4 linked regions of the Caenorhabditis elegans genome follow. The protein of the gene in region 1 purifies or fractionates together with the protein of each later gene. This does not show direct contact. Each region holds a gene or a part of one and is shown in the gene's direction. Other genes may lie near its edges. The genes, in order: rfc-2, F53B2.8, rpa-1 and rfc-1.

Evidence for each region.
Region 2: the proteins of rfc-2 (region 1) and F53B2.8 fractionate together in Caenorhabditis elegans (co-fractionation; one large-scale study listed by BioGRID). This does not show direct contact.
Region 3: the proteins of rfc-2 (region 1) and rpa-1 fractionate together in Caenorhabditis elegans (co-fractionation; one large-scale study listed by BioGRID). This does not show direct contact.
Region 4: the proteins of rfc-2 (region 1) and rfc-1 fractionate together in Caenorhabditis elegans (co-fractionation; one large-scale study listed by BioGRID). This does not show direct contact.

What each region holds. Positions count from the first base shown.
Region 1 is NC_003282.8:1,345,579-1,353,648, forward strand, and holds rfc-2 (Replication factor C subunit 2), read left to right. Parts: upstream 1-1,735; 5' UTR 1,736-1,739; coding exon 1,740-1,886; intron 1,887-1,957; coding exon 1,958-2,064; intron 2,065-2,189; coding exon 2,190-2,313; intron 2,314-3,197; coding exon 3,198-3,276; intron 3,277-3,813; coding exon 3,814-3,989; intron 3,990-5,952; coding exon 5,953-6,207; intron 6,208-7,188; coding exon 7,189-7,305; 3' UTR 7,306-7,399; downstream 7,400-8,070.
Region 2 is NC_003282.8:12,525,411-12,529,339, reverse strand, and holds F53B2.8 (Coiled-coil domain-containing protein 86), read left to right. Parts: upstream 1-1,943; 5' UTR 1,944-2,120; coding exon 2,121-2,142; intron 2,143-2,189; coding exon 2,190-2,270; intron 2,271-2,489; coding exon 2,490-2,941; 3' UTR 2,942-3,109; downstream 3,110-3,929. Other genes in the region: F53B2.5 (Importin subunit alpha), read left to right, coding at 1-42, 361-594, 637-777; Protein eak-4, read left to right, coding at 3,831-3,929.
Region 3 is NC_003280.10:7,662,875-7,667,939, forward strand, and holds rpa-1 (putative replication factor A 73 kDa subunit), read left to right. Parts: upstream 1-1,707; 5' UTR 1,708-1,717; coding exon 1,718-1,801; intron 1,802-1,853; coding exon 1,854-1,907; intron 1,908-1,955; coding exon 1,956-2,037; intron 2,038-2,081; coding exon 2,082-2,187; intron 2,188-2,229; coding exon 2,230-2,474; intron 2,475-2,516; coding exon 2,517-2,818; intron 2,819-2,870; coding exon 2,871-2,966; intron 2,967-3,015; coding exon 3,016-3,900; intron 3,901-3,945; coding exon 3,946-4,059; 3' UTR 4,060-4,236; downstream 4,237-5,065. Other genes in the region: F18A1.7 (Chondroitin proteoglycan 4 domain-containing protein), read right to left, coding at 1-46, 97-364, 413-715, 763-880. UniProt on the Caenorhabditis elegans protein: As part of the heterotrimeric replication protein A complex (RPA/RP-A), binds and stabilizes single-stranded DNA intermediates, that form during DNA replication or upon DNA stress.
Region 4 is NC_003283.11:14,641,747-14,648,058, reverse strand, and holds rfc-1 (Replication factor C subunit 1), read left to right. Parts: upstream 1-2,079; 5' UTR 2,080-2,207; intron 2,208-2,257; 5' UTR 2,258-2,313; coding exon 2,314-2,347; intron 2,348-2,403; coding exon 2,404-2,471; intron 2,472-2,517; coding exon 2,518-2,622; intron 2,623-2,665; exon of another isoform or gene 2,666-2,672; coding exon 2,673-3,441; intron 3,442-3,490; coding exon 3,491-3,810; intron 3,811-3,863; coding exon 3,864-4,172; intron 4,173-4,287; coding exon 4,288-4,685; intron 4,686-4,738; coding exon 4,739-5,255; 3' UTR 5,256-5,392; downstream 5,393-6,312. Other genes in the region: pmp-3 (ATP-binding cassette sub-family D member 4), read right to left, coding at 387-526, 577-869, 1,258-1,306.

The sequences.
Region 1 (8,070 bases):
ACGATGGGTCTCGCCACGATGGGTCTCGCCACGATGGGTCTCACCACGATGGGTCTTTCCACGATGGGTCTCACCACGGTGGGTCTCGCCACGATGGGTCTCACCACGATGGGTCTTTCCACGATGGGTCTCACCACGGTGGGTCTCGCCACGATGGGTCTCGCCACGATGGCTCTCGCCACGAAGATCTCGCAGCAACATTTTTTTAATTTTCCAGAAGGTTCTAGAACAATCCAGAATTTTTTCGAATTTTCCAGAAGGTTCTGGAACATTCCAGAATTTTCTAGAATTTTCCAGAAGGTTCTAAAGCTTTTCAGAATTTTCCAGAAGGTTCTGGAACATTCTAGAATTTTCCAGAAATTCCCAGAAGGTTCTGGAACATTTCAGAATTTTCCAGAAGTTTCCAATTTCCCTTCCAAAGACGGAAAGTCAATTTTTCATAAACTACCGTAATCCTACCGTACTCCTACAGTACTCCTACAGTACTATTACAGTACCCCGACCATATTCCACTACTAACCGCAAACCTATATCTCTTCAAAAGACAAAAACACAATTTTTCATAAACTACAGTAATCCTACAGTACTCCTACAGTACCTCTACAGTACTACTACAGTACCCCGACCATATCCCACCTCTAACCCCAAACCTATATCTCTTCAAAAGACAAAAACACAATTTTTCATAAACTACAGTGATCCTACAGTACTAATACAGTACTCCTACAGTACTAATACAGTACCCCGCCCATATTCCTCTACTAACCACAAACTAATATCCCTCCAACAGCCGAAAACACCTTGCCTTTGTAAGCTATGACGTCACTTGTTAACAAACGGACACTATTTTTTTATATATAGGTAATGATTAATTATTAATTATTAATTATTAATTATTTATTTATTTATTTATTTATTTCAAAAAAACTTTTTTCGATGTCAGGAGTCCTGACTCAGGACAAGTCGTCGTCGGAAGAAGAAGACTTGGAATGCTCACTCCGAAGGTTCCATGGCTGTCCATCGCACGTACTGACCGTGAAAAAAAATGGAATGAGTTTATCCTCTTCGCAACTTGAACCCAACGGACATCAAAGTATCAAAGTAAAGTAAGTAAGAGCTCGAGCCCAGATGCTCGAGCTTGAGCCTAAATGCTCAATCTCGAGCCCAAATGCTCGAGCTCGAGCCCATATGCTCTATCTCCAACGCGAAAAAAGTTGTAGCTGTTAAAAGTCCATGAAGTGCATCCACTTGCCACGAGAAGTGAGAATCAGCCCGAAGCCGCCACAGTCGTACATATTTTCTTTATTTAAACCGGTCAGATACACTGATAGTATTATATTTAACATATTTCTATCTGCAAAAATGCTCTTCTGCCCAGAATTCTTCTGATTCCATTTAATTCTTGCTAGAAATCGCTGAAAAAACAGCTCGTATTTACAATTTTTTGTAATTTCCGACTTCCCATTTTATCAATTTTACTATTTCTGTGAAAAAAATTCGAAATTTCGTTCAAAAATAGCGATTCTGGCTCAATTTCATGAATATCTGTTGTTTTTTTTGGCAAAAGTGGCCGCGGCCGAGGAGGAAACCTTGTCCCCGCTCGGTGTACTCCTCTCGGATAATATTTGTTTTTTGAATTTTAAGCGCGCCAAACTGATTTTCTTTGTCATTCCATGAATTTTCGTCACGTTTTTCGAGTTTTGTATCGAATTCTTATCAAATTTTCAATATTTCCAGCTATGTCAAAGTCGGAAAAGCAACAATTAGCGCCATGGGTGGAGAAATATCGTCCAAAAGTGCTCGCCGATATTGTCGGCAACGAGAACATTGTCGAGCGGCTCAAAGTGATCGGACACGAGGGAAATGTGCCGAATATTGTTTTGTCGGTGAGAAGATTGTTGAAAAATTCATTTTAAAAGTCAAAATGTGAAGTGAAAAATCGAATTTTTCCGTTCAGGGTCCCCCAGGCTGCGGAAAAACGACATCAGTGTGGGCGTTGGCTCGAGAATTGCTCGGCGATAAGGTTAAGGAAGCGGTGCTCGAGTTGAATGCGTCGGACGAGAGGTTTGTGAGAAAAAACCCTGAATAACTGGGAAAAATTGCAAAAAAATTGACTTTTTCGCTAAAAACTTTGAAAAAATTGAATTTTTCTCAAAAAAAAAATCTCAAAAAACTGCCAATATTTCCAGAGGAATCGATGTGGTCCGTCATCGTATCAAAACGTTCGCCCAGACGAAGGTGACACTTCCAGAAGGCCGTCACAAGATTATCATACTGGACGAGGCCGATTCGATGACCGATGGTGCACAGCAGGTGCGGAATTTTGCCGAAAAACTTGGAAATTTGAATTCAGCTCAACGAGAGCTTTGATTTAAGTATGAACATGACTAGGCTGCGATAATTTTGGAAATAAATCTGAAAGTTTTAGGCTTAGGCTTTTAGGCTTAGGCTCAGGCTTTAGCTTAGGCTCAGGCCTTGACTTTGGATTAGGTTTAGGCCTAGGCCTAGGCTTAGGCTCAGGCTTAGACTTAAACGTAGGCGGGATTTTTTTAAGTAAAAAAAGCCGAAAAGTGAGTGTTTTTAGTAGATTTTTCAGTTTTTTTTTGACAAAATCTAGATAAAATCGGAATTTTCTGACGAAAATATCAAAGTTCCGCAATTTTTGAGCTTTTTGCAATGAAATTGGTACAAATTTCGAATTTTTTTTAAATGAAAAATGCCATAAATTAAATGGTCAAAAATCCGGAATTTCTAGCGTTTTCCGAGACAATTTGCGATTTTTTTAAAGAGAAAATGTCAAATATCAGAAAATTGCCCGTTTTTTCCACAAAAAAAACCGAGAAAAATGGTAACTTTGCACACACAATTTCACTTATTTTTTCAGGAAAATTTACACGATAATTAATCAAAATTTTCGTGTTTTTTTTTTTGAAATTGAGCCAGTTTGGATGTCAATCTACCAGTTTTTCTGCGAGGAATTCGATTTTTTCCAATGAAAATCCCCCCAAAAAATGCAATTTTCATCCGAAAAAACCTCCTAAACTCGAAAAATTAGTCCCCCGCCACGATGATTAAAAAATTTCCAATTTTTTCGAAATTTTCGGAACCCAGTCATGATTATACTTAAATGAAAGCTCTCAACGAGCTCAATACGAATTTTGCATTGAATTTCCAAAAAAAAAAAACCAAATTTTCAGGCTCTCCGCCGCACAATGGAGATGTACACAAAGACGACAAGATTTGCGTTGGCCTGCAATCAATCCGAGAAGATTATTGGTACATATTAGGGACGGCAAACGATTTTACCGGCAAATCGGCATATTGCCGGAATTGAAATTTCTGGCGAATTGCCGGAATTGAAATTTCCGGCAAATTGGCATATTGCTGGTTTTGAAAATTTCTAGCAAATCGACAAATTGCCGGAATTCAAATTCCTAGCAAATCGGCAAATTGCCGGAATTGAAATTTCTGGCAAATTGGCAAATTGCCGGAATCGAAATTTCTGGCAAATTGACAAATTGCCGGAATTGTAATTTCTGGCAAATTGGCAAATTGCCGGAATTGAAATTTCTGGCAAATCGACATATTGCCGGAATTAAAATTTCTGGCAAATTGGCAAATTGCCGGAATTGAAATTTCTGGCAAATTGGCAAATTGCCGGAATTGAAATTTCTGGCAAATTGGCAAACCGGCGATTTTCCGATTTGCCGAATTTGCTGACAAAAAATTTCCGAACGGCACTTGCCGTCCACACTAATACAGATCTCGGCCTGGAAACTCCCCAAAAAATCGATCGATTTTTGCCCCTTTCAGAGCCCATTCAATCCCGTTGTGCCCTGCTCCGCTACACAAAATTGAGCCCCGTACAGCTGTTGACACGTGTCAAGGAGGTTGCAAAAGCCGAGAAGGTCAACTATGACGACGGGGGTCTTGAAGCGATTCTGTTCACTGCACAGGGTGATATGCGACAGGCGTTGAACAATTTACAGGTAGAAAATCCGGGAAAAGGCTGAATTTTGAGCTGAAAACGCTGGAAAAAATTGCGAAAATTCACAATTTTCTAGACCAGAATTTTTACAATGTATGTGCTTAAAAGTAGTGAAAAACCGGAAATTTTAGCTAATTTAGTTGGAATTTGGCGTTTTCCGTAAAAAAGGTGAAAAAAATCATATTTTTAAAGGATTTTTTTTCACTAAAAATTGACCTTTTCCAAATTTTCTTCAGTGAAAATCTAAAAATGTTATTAATCTCAAAAATTCCAAAATAAAATCCAAAAAAAAAAATTCAAAAAATTTTAGGAAACTTTTTAAAAATTTCAAAAAAAAATCCTAAAAATTTCACAACAATCCCAAAAAATTCCAGATAATTCCAAAAAAAAAAAAAACTTTAAAAAAATTTCCAAAAAAGATTTCCAAAAAAGATTTCCAGGAAAACTTGGCCATCCTTCCGAACTCCATAATTTTATTTTCAAAATTTTGAAAAATTGGTCTAAAAATATAAAATTTCGCTGAATGTTCTTTTTTCCTTGAAAATCTCAAAAAGTTTCATGAAAATTGGATTTCGTACCATTTTTTTATTTAAACATTTTTTTTTGTTGATTTCACCAGTTTTTTACATTTTGCAACAAAAAAACTTAGAATTTTTCCTAAAATTGAAATTTTCATTAAAATTTTCTCATTTTTTCAGTGAAAATCATGAAATTTCATCAAAATATTGAAATTTTTTACATTTTTCAGTTAATTTTTTTTTTCGATAAAGGACATCTAAAAAAGGGGTATTTTAACAATTTTTTCCCCACAAAAATTGCAAAAATGCCGATTTCCAGTATAATTAAGTGGAAATTTCATGAAAATGTGACTTGTGTGTTTCTCTATCCGAATTGATGGTTTGAATAGTGGTATTCTCGGCTGAAATATGCAATAAATACCGTATTCCAACCAACAATTCGGTGCAATAGAGCACATTTGTCACTGGAGATGCGGAAGCTATGCCCAATTTTTCAATTTTTTTTAGTAAAAATCTGAAAATTTAAACAAAAATTGCGTTTCAAAACAAATTTTCCATTTTTGGGCTGAAAACTTGTAGAAAATTTAGAAAAAGTCTTATTTTCAAGTAAAAACTATGTAAAATATGCAATTTTCCGGCTAAAAAAAAGTAAAATGTTCCGATTTTCCAGGCAACAGTGAACGCTTACGAGCTTTGCCGAGATTTTCAATTATTTTTCACGTCGATCCTCATATCTTCTCAATGTTTTTTTTTCAAATTTTTTTTTCAAATGAACCCGATTCTTGTACAGAATATGTAGTTTTGGGTCTCGCAGCGAAATTGCGCGTTTTATTAATTATTTTTATTGCACTTTAAACATATTTATAGATGGATTTTCCTCGGAACTTTAGCAATTTCATCCCAGTTGCCGAGAAATGCTAAAAATTTGGGTACGGCAACTCGGCAATTGCACACTTTTTGAATTTTTCAATTTTTGATGCAAAAAATTAATTTTCTTGGATTTTTCAAATTTTGCTCAAATCCCTGCTAAAAATTCGAAGATTTTTTAGCCTTTTCTAGTTTTTGCCGAGGAATGCTATAAATTTTGGCTCGGCACCTCGGTAACTGAACTAAATTTCCCTATATATTGTCTGTGACTTGTGTGTTTCTCTATCCGAATTGATGGTTTGAATAGTGGTATTCTCGGCTGAAATATGCAATAAATACCGTATTCCAACCAACAATTTGTGCAATAGAGCACATTTGTCACTGGAGATGCGGAAGCTATGCCCAATTTTTTTTTAGTAAAAATCTGCTGAAAATTTAAACAAAAATTGCGTTTCAAAACAAATTTTCCATTTTTGGGCTGAAAACTTGTAGAAAATTTAGAATGTCTTATTTTCAATTAAAAACTATGTAAAATATGCAATTTTCCGGCTAAAAAAGTAAAATGTTCCGATTTTCCAGGCAACAGTGAACGCTTACGAGCTTGTGAACAAGGAAAATGTGCTGAAAGTCTGTGATGAGCCACACCCGGACCTTATGATCAAAATGCTCCATTACTGTACGGATCGCAAATTCTTCGAGGCATCCAAGATTATTCACGAGTTTCATCGGCTTGGCTTCTCCTCAGACGATATTGTATCAACGTTGTTCCGTGTGGTAAAGACTGTCGAGCTGTCGAAAAATGTGTCCGAACAGCTGAGAATGGAGTATATTCGGGTGAGAAAATGGGTGGAAAATGAGCCAAAATGAGCGGCTAAAAGCCGCCCGGGGTGTTCTGAAAATTGTCAAAAATCCGCGTTTTTTGGAGCTTTGTTTTGCCGAAAAACGCGAAATTTCGTTGTTAGATCATCGGAATATCTAAATTTCGGCCTTTGTGGCTGAAAATTGCCGAAAACCACCGGATTTTAGGGATTGGTAGCCTAAAATTGGCGAAAATCGTGAATTTCGAAGACTAGTTGCCGGAAATTGCCGAATTTTAGTTTTTGGTTACCGGAAATTGAGTCCGGCAACTCGGCAACTGAACTGAATTTCCAATTGAAATTTCCGGCCAACCGTAAAATTGCCGGAAATGAAAATTTGCGGCAACTCGGCAATTTGCCGGAATCGAAAGTTTCCGGCAAATCGGCAATTTGTCGGAATTGAAATTTCCGGCAAAACGGCAAAATGGTGGAATTGAAAATTTTCGTCCAATTGGCAAACTGCCAAAAATAAAAAATAAAATTTCCGCCACATTGCCGGAATTGAATTTTGAGGCAAAATGGGAAAATAGCGGAATTCAAAAATTTCCGGCAAATCGGCAAATTGCCGGAATTGAAATTTCCAGCAAAACGGAAAATTGCCAAAAATCAAAATTTCCGGCAAATCGGCAAGTTGCCGGTATTGAAAATATCCGGCCGATCGGCAAGTTACCGGAAATAAAAATTTCCGGATAATCGGTAAATTGCCGAAATTGAAATTTCCGGCAAATTGGCAACTGAATTGAATTTCCCGGTATATTGTCTGTGACTTGTGTGTTTCTCTATCCGAATTGATGGTTTGAATAGTGGTATTCTCGGCTGAAATATGCAATAAATACCGTATTCCAACCAACAATTTGTGCAATAGAGCACATTTGTCACTGGAGATGCGGAAGCTATGCCCAAATTTTAATTTTTTAGCCCAAAACCATTAAAAAAAAACAACGAAACAATTTTTCAGCAAATCGCCATGTGCCATATGCGTATCGTGCAGGGACTCACTTCGAAACTTCAACTCTCCCGTCTGATTGCCGATCTGTGCCGAGTTTCAGCAGCGGCAACGGCTACGAGTGCCTAAAATTGTTGCCGAGATTTTCAATTATTTTTCACGTCGATCCTCATATCTTCTCAATTTTTTTTTTCAAAATTTCAAATGAACCCGATTCTTGTACAGAATATGTAGTTTTGGGTCTCGCAGCGAAATTGCGCGTTTTATTAATTATTTTTATTGCACTTTAAACATATTTATAGATGGATTTTCCTCGGAACTTTAGCAATTTCATCCCAGTTGCCGAGAAATGCTAAAAATTTGGGTACGGCAACTCGGCAATTGCACACTTTTTGAATTTTTCAATTTTTTGATGCAAAAAATTAATTTTCTTGGATTTTTCAAATTTTGCTCAAATCCCTGCTAAAAATTCGAAGATTTTTTAGCCTTTTCCGGTTTTTTCCGGAATTCCAGTTTTTGCCGAGGAATGCTATAAATTTTGGCTCGCCACCTCGGCAACTGAACTGAATTTCCCTATATAGTATGTGACTTGTGTGTTTCTCTATCCGAATTGATGGTTTGAATAGTGGTATTCTCGGCTGAAATATGCAATAAATACCGTATTCCAACCAACAATTCGGTGCAATAGAGCACATTTGTCACCGGAGATGCGGAAGCTATGCCCAAATTTTCAATTTTTCTTCTGAAAATTTTGAAATCGCTCGAAAATCAAATTTGAAAGGCATTGATTTTCAGACTAAATTTTTTCAAAAATTTTTTATTTTTGTAAAAATTACTGGAAATTAAGCTCCGCTTAAATTTTTTTTTCTTCTGGGGGATCTCGAAAAACGCAGT
Region 2 (3,929 bases), about 11 Mb from region 1:
GTGATGGCTGGGATTCATACTGGAGACAAACGCTTGAGAAAGGTAAGCTGATATAAAATTATATGAACAGTATTTTATTTATTAGACATGCACCACCATTGTTTTACATTGACAGGGCATATATCTCGATTCACTTCCGTTTTATCAAAAAATTGTCAACTGAAGAAATACGTGCAAAATGTTTTTCTACGTTTTGATAGTGAAATTGTTTGATAACACTTGAGACAGTCAAGATATGAGCCGTCAAAGTGAATTAATGAGGGTGCAAGTACAATAGAGACAATACTGTAGTTAGCTTTGAACACATCTTTTGAAACAAAATTTATTTTCGAGCTTAGAAATTATCTATGGTTATTTCAGGAATGTCTGTGGATTATTGGAAATCTATTGGCAACTGCAGATGAGCATCAAACGTATCTTCTCGTCTCCTTAGGAATAGTACAGCATTTTCCAGCTCTTCTCGATTTTGATGATGTTCGTTTGAATGAAAAGGCGGCGACAACTGCAACTGAACTGCTCCGTGAGCATCCATGGCAGTACACATTGTTCCAACGTTTGGATATTTTGGGATGTATTGAGAGAGCTGGAGCAAACGTTAGTTGAATATCCTTAGACTTAACAATCCGTGTGTTTCAGTTTTCGATTCAAAAAGCCGAACTGAAATCTTTGATGAATGACTTGGCGCCACCTGAACGGAAAGATGAAGATATTGCCAAAGGATGTTCTGTGATTTGCTACAGCAAGCTCTCAGACGACTTTCACAGCATGAGCATTTGAATTTACTCGTTTGAAAATAAAAATACGAATTTTGATTGTGTAGGTTTAAAATATCAACCCATCAATCAGCAGAAAATGTTGTCTAATTACGTTTCTGTGATATTTAAAATTACTTGAACATTTCCAATACACCTGTTTTTATTTGTTCACTCGAATTCCAATCAGATTACTGACAGATTACTGGCTCTTCAACTGCGATTTTTCTACCGGTTTGTGTACTCTTTTTGGACAATTAGATGTTATGTGCACTTCCTGAACAGGTGCATAAACAATTGATGAGATGATGATGAATAGATGGATTAGGAATGGGGGAAAGAGGATTTTAAATGTTTTTGGAACATAGGGGGTAATTACCGGTAATTGATTTTTTCCAAATTTCTTCACTCCTAAAATATTTCAAGTTTTCAGGCAACAAAATGTGAGAAAAAGGATTTTTTTAAAGTTAAATATGATCAGTAAAGTGTCGGCTTCCATGATTTTTACAAATACACAATTATTATAACATCTCTTTTAGGTTTTTAGGTAGATTTGCATTAACTTTGCCAAAACTATTCGACTCTTCCAACTACAAAAATGTTTTCCAGTTTGAATTCAAATACCCGTCGTCCTTTTCTATTTGCCAATTTCCGGCGGCAATGTGATGGGATAGTGATATGACAATCTGTTACTCATTCCTTTTGGCGGTTTTTGTAAGGAACAAAAGCACTTTTTCTAGATTTGAATTTGAGTTGGGGAGATGTTGAACGACGACGATGAGCTGTTAGATGTTTTAAATCTTGAATTGTATAGTAATTCATAAGATTAAAAATCAGAAAACTTAAAAACTTAAATTTGAATATAAATATACCATAACTTTATGTCATCGATAAAAATTGGTCACACAGTAAAAACCGAGGGTTGCTGTACCTGGCAGTAGTCTGAAAAAATCAAATGTTAATGAAAATTTCGAATATTAAAAAATTTAAAACATTGCCTAAGTTAAAATTTTCGAAATGCTGAAATGCTTTGGGTGTAATATTTGTTAAGCATATTTCTAGTGAATTTTGTAGTTAAAAATTTCAACACTTTGATTTCGCAATCCCGTCACCCATCTTTTCCCTCTGGGTCTCACGATTTCCCCATACTTTCCAATAATCTTTCCTGTCAACATTCCCATTTCACATGACATTTTCAATTTTAATACTACCTTACTCATAGTCAACATCACTATTTCAGAATTCCACACTTATAAACATTATTGATGATAAAAACTCTTTGATAAGAAATTGATACAAAAACCCTCCTCAGTGCCTGCAATTTCAGTGGTTACTTGTACTGCTAAAATCAATTGCTTTGAACTGAAAATGCCAATGGGCAAGAAGTTGTGTAAGTTTTTAAAGTCGAGAAAAATTTGAAAATGCTCAAATTTACAGTGGGAAAGCTTAAGAGAAATAAGGTGGAGGAGCCACAGGTGGAGCCGGAGGAGGATTTGGGAGATGCTATGAGTACGCAAGGTTAGTAAGGAATTACATTTGACTTTTAGTGTTGAGCGTCGATTGTAGTGTTCGGAAAATTTTAGTTCACTGAACGGTATAGCAAATACGCAAATTTGACGCGAAAACTTTATAAACAACAGATTTGACGAGCAAATTATCGTAATAAATCTATGTGATAAGTCTAGTTTACGTTTGGCAGATTATATTACATACTCGAATGAGATTCGCAAATTTCAGAAAAAGATGACGTGAAAGTTGGGAAGAAAAGAGCCCCGAAGAATAACATGGGTGGAAAGAAACGACTGAGATCCAAGCTGGGAAATGTTGGGAAACACCAGAAAAGGGTACGCTCCAAGGAAAACACTCCGGAAAGAAAGCTGGAAAAATTGGAGAAACTCGAACTTCAACTGACCTTAAAACGAAGTCGAGAGGAGCAGAAACGAGCCAAAAAAGATAAGAAACTGGAGAGAAAAGCACTGAAGATTCAAAAAAAGTTGGAAGCTTTGAGAAGCATCAAGGAAAAACCACATCAAGGCTCTGAAGCACAAGGGCCAAAAGTCCCCAGAGCCAGAAAGATCCGGGTACCAGCCCCAAGACCACCCCGTCTTCCATATTTGGCTCTAGTCGCCAATCTTCATAAGGCTCCGAAAGCATTGCGTGATATGAGAGCTGCTGCTTCACGCCGTTAGTGTGGGCTTTGGATCATTTGGAAGAAAAAAAAATTGTTAAGTGGAAAATTAATAAGAAGAATATGAATCTGGATGTCAAATTTAATTTGTGGACGTTTTGAATTTTTCACTTTGAAGTTTTTATTTGTTAATAAAAAATGTTTGATTCAAAATTTACAAATTTCAAATCAGCATACCAAAATCTTCGAAATGTAATCATGATTCATGAGAGGTCTCGCCATGAAAACTAATGGTTATGGTAGATTTTTTCAATCTTATTCGAAATTTCAATTTGAAACTTGATCTTCAAAGTGAGACCACATTTCCCACTAACGTTTTTTATCTGCTCACTATCAGATCAAATTTAAGATTCAGAAAACTTGCTAGCTACAGTAACCGACACGTTTTGTAGTGAGACCCGATCTGCTTCGTAAAAATTCACATCTGCCTTGTAAGGAGACCTACACCTGATTCCTGCCTACAAAACGTGCCTATAGACTTGCAAAATTATTTCCGATCCTTTAATTGTTTGCAAAAATTCAGATGCCTAGGCAGTAGGCAAGCTTGTAGGCAGGCAAGAATACAGTAGGAGGAAACGTGCTTGCCTACTGGAATTTGGGAAATTTCTTCATAATCCGGTAAATTAAATTTTAAGGAGAATTCAGACTGTTCCCACAGCAATTTAAATCCACTTCCCTTTCCAAATTTCTGTGTCTCACTCCACTTTTGTTATAATTTTACGAATTTTTATTGCTTCCCCTTTTCCTAATTTACAGTATTCCTTGTTATCGAAAATATGTATGAATTCTGAGAAAAATTGGTCAAAAAATATAAAAAGACAAAAAACAATTAGCAGCCCCAGACCATCTCGACAATTTCCCCCATTCATTCTTACTTCCTCCCCACCATCATGGGACAATGCCTTGCCGTTCATCGCCGAATCATGGCGTCACAGGAGTTTCCGAATATTCCTCAGCCGGAGTCGCAGTGTCATGATGCATTTATCCGG
Region 3 (5,065 bases), on another chromosome or scaffold:
AATTGCAAAACGGCATCTTTTATCGATTTTCTTACTGATGACATCCCTGAAATGTTTAGTTACATAGCATATTTAATAATGATCGCACTAACTAACCTCAATGCTGGTGACAATTGATCAACCATTACAGAAACGGCATCGAATGGTTGCATAAGCATGTCCAGACTAAGCCATCCACTCAAGGCACACTTGCTGTTGAGTCGCTTGGTGACACATGGGAGAGTACATTGCAGAGAGTTACAAAGTTCTCCAAGATGATCAGCAACAATAAATACATTACCTCCAACTGTAGCAGCGAATTTAATGTTAGAATCTTGAGCGAAAGCAGTTAGGTTTGAACGAGCATAGCATTCTTTGTCGCAGCCTGAAAACGATTTTTTGATGGTGGGCAATTTTTCAGAAAAAAAATTACCTGACATGATATCATCAACGACAGGGTTGAGACACGACTCCATTCGCTCAAACAGAACGTGCTTTGTGGCACACATATATTCAACACTGCTGCTGGCTTTTGCGAAGAGCTTGTTGTGATCACAGTACTGTTCTTTCTTCAGACAAGTGATAGCCTGTGCATGATGACCACAGACTTTGCGAGCTTGATGTACAACATTCTTCATGTTCCACAGAGACGTCGTAGAATTGATGAACGGGTCGATGCACTTTCGCATGCAATATGGAACTCCAAGAGCGCGGAAAATTGTGTCGACGTCGAGGGCTGAAGTGAAACTTTAATCTTAAGCACACAATAATCTAGTTTTTTACCTTGTTCTTCGTGTGGCACGACATCTTTGTCGTCGTGTACCGATTCGATGGCACCATTTACACACGAGAAGAACAGAAAGATGGCGGGAAGGAAGAAGGCGAGATGGAGATGGCGCATCTGGAATTATGTAGAAGTTTTTTTTCCGAAATGGGGGTTAGATATTAAGCAGTTTGAAAGTGGTCTAAAAGCTTTCGAAAACTTTTATAAGCTTTCAAGAAGGTCATATAAGGAAAAGAACAGCTAGGTAGAAATGAAGTGGGTAACTGATATAGCCGAAACTTTACATAATTTATAAAATGAAAATTTATCAAAACTGACAAATGAAAATAAAACAAAATCCGAATTCTTTATGCGACTTTTCTGATTTCAAAATTTAGCGCGTCAATAGAAAAGTTAGATCGGCGGGAAAAAACAATTTCCAAACTACGGTTTTGATGGAGGTCTCGAAGCGAATACCGTACCCGGCAAGATTTACGCAGGTGGTCCGAGCCATTCATTTTTTTCTTTTTCAAATGTGAATTGCTTTGTTGAGAACCTGCAGAAAATCTTCATGTTTGGACGAAGTATTGACTTTTAGAATGTTTTTGTTCAGTATTTTAACCCTCTTCCAATATTGCGCTGCCATAATTTCGATTCATGCGATTTTGGCCGATGTAAAACCTTCATCAAAATTTCAACAATTATTATTGTAATCTTTAAAACTTCTCAATTCCTTTTTTTAATATTTATTTGTTTTCTCATATTTTAATTCAAGTTGTGCTCGATTTTCTTTGACTAACAGAAATTCCCGCTTTTCGGCACACATTTCCCGCAAACATCACATTCTACGCCATTTTTTTTGGCGCGTATCCGGCCTGTAGAGAATTCAAAATTGAATCGTCTCCCCTTCATTTGTTTCTTCATGTTTCAAGCTTTTTTCCCCAATTTTTATGTATCTGTTTCAGATAGTGAAAGATGGCGGCAATTCACATCAATCACGATGTCTTCAATAAGTATCATACTAACGGGAAACTTCGACTTACAACAGGCTATGTTCAGGTAAAGAAATCAATGTAGAAAACCAGGAAATTTAATTTTGATGAATTTTCAGGAGGCTATCGAAAACAATGGATATCCTGGACATGATGGAATCGTTCAAGTTTTGGTACTTTTGACTAATTCAAAAGTTTCGCAATAATTCGATAATTTTCAGAAAGGCAAAGTAGAGCAAGGAGAGCAACTTGGTCACGCATTCACTTTCAGAATTCGTATCTCAGACGGTGTTTTCCAATACAGTAAGTGAGTTTGTTATACTCTGATATTTATTTATGCTTTGAAGATGCGCTCATGTCCGCTGATATCGATGACCAAATCAAACGTGAAGTTGAGCATCTTGTTGAGGGAACAATTATCGCTCTTACTAAATTTGAAATCTACGACCAAGGGTGAGATTATAACATTATTGAGTCCTTCAATGTATTTTTCAGAGAAGGTGCTAAGAATTGCTTCCTGATCAAAGGATACAAAATTCTTTCTCGCTATCATCAGGTTTTGACCTCTCCAGAAGTCAAGCCAAGATCTCATTCTGGCAAACCTGATGAGCACAAAGGCTATAGACCAAATATTATCATCGAAGATGTTTGGCCTGAAGCTGAAGGAATGGCTGCTGATTACCAGGAGAATATGGCAAATCCACCAGCAGCAAAAGCGCCGAAAAGAGAATTCGGAGAAGGTAAAATCTAAGAGTTGTAATGTGTGTAATTCGAGTTTTCAGAAGCCTCATACAATCGTGCCGCTGCTCCAGAGGCTACACGCGCTCGAGCTGTTCCACCACCAGCACGCCGTACCGCGTCGAACACAGAAAGAGGCGTGATGCCTATTGCAATGGTTACACCGTACGTATCGAATTTCAAAATTCACGGAATGGTATCACGCAAGGAGGAAATTCGTACTTTCCCAGCGAAAAACACGAAAGTGTTCAACTTTGAAATAACCGATTCAAACGGAGATACAATCAGATGTACCGCATTCAACGAGGTTGCTGAGTCCTTGTACACCACAATCACCGAGAATCTTGTTAGTATTATTTTAATCGGATTATGCATAATAATTAATTTAATATTTTCAGTCTTATTATTTGTCTGGTGGATCAGTCAAACAAGCAAATAAGAAGTTCAACAATACTGGACACGACTACGAGATCACACTTCGCAGCGATTCTATCGTTAGTAAATTTAAAGCGATTCATCATAGCTAAAATATTAAATTTTCAGATTGAAGCTGGAGGTGAATTGCTTGCTGCTCCAAAGCTCATACTCAAACGAGTGAAGCTAGGTGAAATCGCTGGATATGCTGGACAACTGATTGACGTTCTCGTCGTGGTTGAAAAGATGGATCCAGAGGCTACCGAATTCACTTCAAAGGCTGGAAAATCTCTGATCAAGCGAGAAATGGAGTTGATTGACGAGTCTGGAGCACTTGTTCGATTGACACTTTGGGGAGACGAAGCAACAAAAGCACTTGTTGATGACTATGTTCAAAAAGTAATCGCATTCAAAGGTGTTATTCCAAGAGAGTTTAATGGAGGATTCTCTTTGGGAACTGGGTCAGCAACTCGTATTATTTCGGTGCCAGAAATCGCTGGAGTGTCTGAACTCTATGATTGGTACGCAAACGTGAAACCAACCACTGAAGTTAAGATGATGAGCCAAGCTGCTGGAGGATCCAATGAAGCTCCACGTACTATTGCAGGACTCCAAGAAATGCAATTTGGAAAGGATTCCGACAAGGGAGATTACGCAACTGTCAAAGCAATGATTACCAGAGTAAATCCTACGAATGCTCTTTATAGAGGATGCGCTTCAGAGGGTTGCCAAAAGAAACTTGTGGGAGAAAATGGTGACTACAGATGCGAAAAGTGCAATAAGAACATGAACAAGTTCAAGTGGCTGTACATGATGCAGTTTGAACTTTCGGACGAAACCGGACAGGTCTATGTCACAGCTTTCGGAGATAGTGCTGCGAAGATTGTTGGAAAATCAGCTGCGGAGCTTGGAGAATTGCACGATGAAAGCCCAGATGAGTACAACGCTATTTTCGAACGCCTTCAGTTTGTTCCAAAGATGTGGAGACTTCGTTGCAAGATGGATTCGTACAATGTAGCTTTATTTCTTGAAGATCCGTTATGATTGTTTTCTTTATAGGAAGAAGTTCGTCAGAAGATGACTGTCTATGGTGTGGATGATGTCAATCAGGACAAGTACATCGAAAATCTGAAGCAAATGATCGAGCAGATGCAACAAATGAGTGACTACTAAATGTTCTGTTTTTTATTACATCGTGCCGATCTCGACTGTTTCATTTAAATCTAAAAAAACCTAAATATTATTAAAACCTTTTTTGAGCCTAAAGTTATCACATGTCTCACATCCACAATCGCTGATTTTGTACAATGTTTTTCATCTCATTTACTAGCGAATAAACTATACGATGTGAGCCTATCTTTGAGTGCCAGGTGACCTCGAGATGTGTTCTGAAGTGACAGCATTGGGTCGTTGCAGCGTCCTTGAGAGCGGGTGACTGCCCGACAACAAATGGCCTTGGGTTGCCACATTTATCCTACGTCTCTCTGCCCACGACCACATTTTCCATTGCTAACCCGCAGGTTCGTGGGCAGCCAGCGAGCTCTTTGAGCTCTCTTCGTCTATTTCTCTCTAACGCTGTCTTTTTTTTTGTCTTATTTTCCATGAAAGACATTGGCGGATTAGTGGAAAAGACTAGTGACTTTCATTTACAGAAACGTCTTTTATCACCTGTTTTGATTTTCCAAAAAAATAAATTCCGTAATGATTTTATTATGTTTCCAAACAGTTGCAATTTGAACACTCCTTTCAAATTGTTCGTCCAAACTAAGCCGTGCTGAAAGAAAATTTCCGTCTTATATTTTGAGTGTAGCTTTTCTGTTGCAGTTGTTAAGATTTGTCGATGCAATTTAGGGTTATGCAGCTGACCTTATGGAGTGTCTGGGAGAGCACACACAAATGCGTTCCCAACAGAAGGTGTTCTCCGTGTCTATTCCCAATAAAGGTCATCTCCATATGCTCATCCCGTTTCTTTTCACCTAATACGTTTATTCGCAACCTTTTCTAGTTATCTTCAAAAAAAAAAGGTTCACGAATTGTTTTCCTCAATTTAGAGTTTAGTGGTGTCACAGTATCCCATCTCGGTTTTTTATTTGAAAATTGTGGGAATTTAATTCGAATTTGCTACCCAGGAAAAATGTCTGGAAATTCCCGGATTAAGCTGGAATGGGACACTCTGACA
Region 4 (6,312 bases), on another chromosome or scaffold:
GAAAAATATCGAATTTAAATAATTTAAATTGAGAGAAAAGTTTTTCCTTTCAAAATTAAATTATCACGATAAATTTTTGATCGTTAAATCTTGTGTTGACATGTTGGTACGCGCATTTTAAGGCATCAAATTTTATTAATTGTTATAATGTGCCTATATCAACAAATTAACGCGAAATAAACAGCAATAAAATATGATATTTTTATTCTAAGCTGTATTTTAGCTGTTGCGACAATGACAAGTTGAACAAATTTCAAATTCTAGCTTAACTTGGTTTTTTCCAAATTAAGCGAAAAATCTAAAAACTCATAGTCAGCTTTTCAATTAAAAGAAAAATTGTAAAATATTATTTGATTTTATAAAATTAATTTATATAAAAAACTTACGGATTATCAAGCATATCCCCAGAAGAAGATAGCTTGAAGAAAGCTTGTCTCTTGAAATATAACCTATGCATCGTGAGATTACATACTTGACGACTTTTGATCGCTAACATATTTGTAAGATATTTGAATACTGCTAATGTCTGAAATTAAACGCTAATTAGGATGAGAAAATATCGAATTTCGATCTTACAAAAGCTTTTCCAAGAATAATCGCGGCTCCCCGTGCACACAGAATTTTAAACGTGTCAGCATCCTTGTTTCCCAGTGCCACGTAGAACAGACTTGGCTGGATTCCAACTAAATACGTCATTACTTGATCGAGAGCAGTTGCGATGAGCAGTGCTCCGGCGAGCCACGCGGTTATCGATCGACGATGACATGGAAACAGGATTTTAAGAAGACGCCAGAACCTCCGAAAGAAGAGGAAGTCGAGGGCCAATCTGGCCATTTTGACCGGATTTTGGGCCGAGGCGTTTTTGCGACCTGAAATTTTGTGATTAGGAAGGCTTTTTTCAGAAGATGCCCCAGAAATAGACATTAAGAAGAGGAGGAGTGGAGTTGAATTCAAGAAAAATAGTGAATTTCAGTGGAGATTTTAGACAAACTTGAAGCTTTTTTTATGACTGGACAATTCTACTGAGATCAACCGGAGCAAAAAACAAAGCATTTTTCTGGAATTTAAAATGTTTCAAGGAGAATATTTAAGACAACCAAACACCATTCAAATCCGAAACAAAAAAGAAAAGAAACGTAGGCCGGCCATACCATCCCATTCAAACCAAATGAGGTCGATAAAGGCGTTGAAAAGAGCACAAAGAAATGAGCACAGAGACGTGGACAATGAAGAACAGAAATGGATAATGATTATCACCTTTTTCTGTTCGTACTTCTTCCAGTTGAATTTCTTGATCCGACTCCATGCGGGATGTGCAATCTGGAAAGAGCTGGCTGTGAGTGAACATGCAAAAACATAATTTATATTTACAATAACAATAGAGATAACGACGATCAAAACAAAACTAAAAAACAAAAGCTATTCAAGGTGCTGCTGAGTTTTTGTGCATTGATAACAATTCAGTTTTACAGAAAAAAAAACAGAAAATGAAGCTTTCGGCATAAATTATTACAATTTTATGTTCCAAACATAAATAAACAGACTATAATGATTCGAATATTTTGAGAAAAAGCTTCAGTTTTCGACGGTTTTGCAGGAATAAGTTCGGTCAGCTGTACACGCAAATACATTTGCGTCCGCACACAGTGTAACGAGGAGAGTGGGGGACAGGAGAAAGTGAGGCAAGCGGAAAGAGAGATTGCAAACGCAGACGATGAAGAAAAAAATGATGGGCGGGGAAGCATTGGGCACTTTTTGGGGGAAAGATGAGGACCCTTTGATATTCAGAATTTTATATTCAGATTTATAACGTGATTCGTGCGAGGAGAATTATCAGTTTTATATAGGATCTTTGAGTTGAAATAAGACGAGAATTTAATTTTTTATCAACAAAAAATCGGGAAGATATGTAACGAATTTCTTGAACGGAAAATAGCAAGGAATCTTAAAAATTTATGAAAAATAAATTGCAATTTTCATACTGTAGAAATTAAAGGGACATTACGAATAAGCCGAATAAGGCCTCGGCACGATTTCAAAAATGCAAATACGCTCTGTTGGAATTTGCTTTTCCCGCTCAGTTTTTTAAATTTTAAAACTTTTTTTTTCATTCTTTTTCATTTTGGCTCCTCAAGATTGTTCCTGCTTTTCGATCGTTTTTTCGAAACCGAAAATTACGAAAATACACCCAGATTTTGGCGATTTTTGTAAGCCTTTCTATAGTTTTTAATCCCCAACAAAAATTATATTTTTTAAGCCGACGGAGAGAATCCAATCCCTCGACATTTACGGAAGATCGCCTCAAAAAAGGAAATGAGTACAAAAAGAAAGATTGTGGTTTCTTCGGGTAAAAAACAAATTGCATTCTGTGCAAATGTGTATTACGAAATTTCTTTTTTTAAGATTCCGATGATGATATGCCATTCACCCAGGAAAAGCAAAAGAAGGCAGCGACACCGGCGAAAAAAAGGGTTCGGAAATTCATGTGAACTGAACCCTCATTGAGAAATGTTTCAGACAAAGCCAGTAGTACTAACCGATGACGACGAAGAAGAAGAAAATGCACCTCAAAAAAAGACTGCACCAAAAAGATCGAGAAAGCAAGAAAAAGAAGAGAGCGATGTGAGAAAGCACTCTAATATCCATGAAATATCGCAATAATTAGCTTTTAGATAACCTCTGACGAAGACGAGCTCGTGCGCGGAACTGATGAAAAAAAGAAAAGAAAGGGTGGAAAAAAGGAGTTACCAGTTGGTCAAAAAACGCTGGATTATATGTTCAAACCTTCTTCGTCATCTTCGAAACGTGATGATCCTAAGAAAAAAGTCGAAAAAACATTAGTGAATCCCGCAGACTTCTTCAAAAACTCACCAGCGCCATCTGCATCAAAACTTCCAAAAGTTGCTCCGAAAACTGTTGAAAAACCAAAAACGCCAGCTAAGAAGCCAGTGGAGATCAGCCCGTCGACCAAAGAAAACACTAAAACAAAGAAAGTGTCGGACGATGAGTTCGTAGATTCTGATGATAGTTTTGACACGTTCACTCCTATTACTGTGAAAAAGAAGACACCTGAAAAGAGAAAGGAGACCCCGAAAAAGAAAGAGCTTCCTTCTGTCAAAAAAGAATTCCCAAAGAAGCAATCAATTCCTGTCAAAAAAGAAAAAGAAACTCCACAGAAAAAGGCGTTATCAGTGAAAAAAGATCCACCGAAAGTAACCTCCGAGTCATCTTCGTCGAGTCAAGTTTCCACGTCATCAGTCGTTTTTCAACCGAAACCAAGTGGGCCACCCCCAGCACTTTCATGGGTTGATAAGTATAAGCCGAAAAGGATGGGAGAACTTGTTGGCCAGAATGGAGACAAAAGCCCAATTAATAAGCTTTTGGAATGGATTAAAGACTGGGCAAAACACAATCTTGGCGAAGGGGCAAAAATTAAGAAGCGTAAGTAATTTTATTTCTATTTTATTATAATATTATCGGCAATTTTCAGCAAAACCAGCTCCATGGATGTCATCTCAAGATGGTACATCATTCAAAGCAGCTCTTTTATCGGGTTCTCCTGGAGTTGGAAAGACTACATGCGCCTATATGGCTTGTCAACAACTGGGCCTTCAACTTGTCGAAATGAATGCATCAGATGTGCGTAGTAAGAAACATCTCGAAGCGAAAATTGGCGAACTCTCTGGTTCTCATCAAATTGAGCAGTTTTTCGGAGCGAAAAAGTGTGCTCCACAAGATAATCAAAAGGTTCATCATATCCTGATTATGGATGAAGTCGACGGAATGTCTGGAAATGAGGATCGAGCTGGTGTGAGTTTAAATGAAGAACTAATATATTAATATTCAAATGTTTATTTTTACAGATCTCTGAGCTCATCCAAATTATCAAGGAGTCTAAAATTCCAATTATTTGCATTTGTAATGACCGGCAGCATCCGAAAATTCGTACACTGGCCAACTATTGCTATGATCTTCGTTTTCCAAAGCCACGTGTCGAGACTATTCGTTCTCGGATGATGACCATCTGTTCTCAGGAAAAAATGAAAATTGGCAAAGAAGAATTGGACGAAATTATCGAGTTATCCGGTCATGACGTCCGGCAAACAATTTACAACCTGCAAATGAGGTCAAAGGGAGTTGGAGCAAAGATCAACCAGAAGGATATGGCTGTGGTAGGTCTCCTAGCCGTGAAATTTTGCGATTTTCGCGCCAAAAATGGGGTACTTGGTCTCGATACGAAACTTGCGCCTGGTTATACAAATTCTGAAATCTTAACAACATTTTCAGGATGCATTCTCGGCGGCTCGTCGTCTCCTGGATTCTCGTACGACATTAATGGAAAAGCAGGAAATGTTCTTCACTGACTATGGAATCATGCCACTTTTCGTCCAGGATAATTATCTCAATATGAAAAATGAAAAGCATAGTCCAATCCAAGCGATCCGTGGAATACGAAAAGCTGCAGACTTCATTTCCCTTGGAGACCTTATTGATCGGCAAATTCGTGGTGGAGGATCCTGGAAGTTGCTCAATGAGCAGAGCATGATTTCTGCTGCACTTCCAGCGATTGCCACTGGTGGACATTTGAAGGCAATGATTCAGTTCCCATCGTGGTTGGGAAAAAACTCGACAGCTGGAAAACGGAAGAGATTGCTTCAGCAACTGGTTCAACACACACATCTCAAGTAAGTTACGCTAAATTCATTATGGGAATTAGGAATTTATTTATTACTTTCAGAGTTTCTGCTGGTACTCACTCATTTGCCACTGATTATGCTCCAATGCTCCGTCAGAAAATAACGAAACCACTTCTTGAACATGAAGCTGATGGAATTCCAGATGTGATCAGCACAATGACAGAATACGATCTCATCAAAGACGACACTGAAGCACTCACAGAAATTGTTGCTTGGCCTGGAAAAATTGATCCGGCTAGTAAAATTTTGAGTAAGGTGAAAGCATCATTGACTAGAACTCTAAACAAGACTGGTCGAATGCTTCCATACTCGATGGATTCTGTGTCAAAAGGAAAGAAACGAGGTGTGAATTCAATTGGAATTGAAATGGACGAAGAAGGAAATCTAGTGGAGAAATTTGAAGATGAAGATGGAGAATCCGATAATGAGGATAACGAGGAGAAAACTACTGATGTTGTTATTAAAGTTAGGACTGGTGGAGGTGCCGGAGCTTCAAAATCTGCTCGAGGTGGACGTGGTGGTGGTCGGGCTCGTGGAGGAAGAGGAAGCAAGAAATGATTATAGATGTCCAGTATTATTCTAACTATTACCGTAAACTTGCAATAAACCCTCTTGAATGATCACTATTTCGACAAAGCAGATATTCTTGCAGGAAAACTATTAAAAACTGGATAAAAAATCATGTTACAACGATTTATTTGAGCACGATGAAACAATTTAATTTTAGTCATTTTGCACCAGGAGGACAACGTATTATGGTTTTGCCAAAAATGTTGAAAATTTCGTTCAAGATCATTGAGATATTCACAACTGTTTTCTATATTTGTCAAGTTAGTTCGCATTGAAAGAGAAATCAACTCTGACTAAATTGAAGACAATAGAATCGTTGTGAAAACTGGATGAACCACGAAATTTCGCGATATAGTGGTCTTTCATAAAAAGGAATGAAATCGTAGGGAATTGGACCAGCAATTGTGAAAGCATCGGGAGGGATTGTAACATAGAAAATGTGGTAATGGAGTGCACGTGGTGTCAAAGTGTCCCATATTGGTTTGATCTACGTAGAAAACGTCGTAGATCTACATAAATGCGGGAGAAGAGACGCAGAGTTCTCAACTAATTTTGCATGGTTAAAAACGTGCCGACGTCACATTTTTTGGGCAAAAGATTCCCGCATTTTTTTGTAGATCAAACCGTGATGTGACAACCTGATACCACGTGGGAGTGGACTAGAAAAACTAAGCAAGAAATATGGATAAATGGAGAAAAGAAGAATAGAACTGGAGGAGGAAGCAGGAACTATTTTGAGCAGGAAAGATGTTGCACTGCGATTTTGTGGCCTGAAAAGTTAGAATTATGAAATCCTTGTTTTGTGGAAGTTTCAATTGGAAACAAATGTAAAGGAATTATCGTAATTTCGCAATTATCTGAAACACAAAATTAAATGCACCCATGGGTATCGCAGCGAAAAAATTCTCCTTGACAAAACTTTCTGATTTTACCGTCATCTCTGGGCACATATTTTCAACAATTACTGAAAGCTCTAGAAGATTTCAATAAAAAACAAATTGTGTGTCTAGCTATGAAGACAGATCCAGCTAAAACGGTGCGCCTT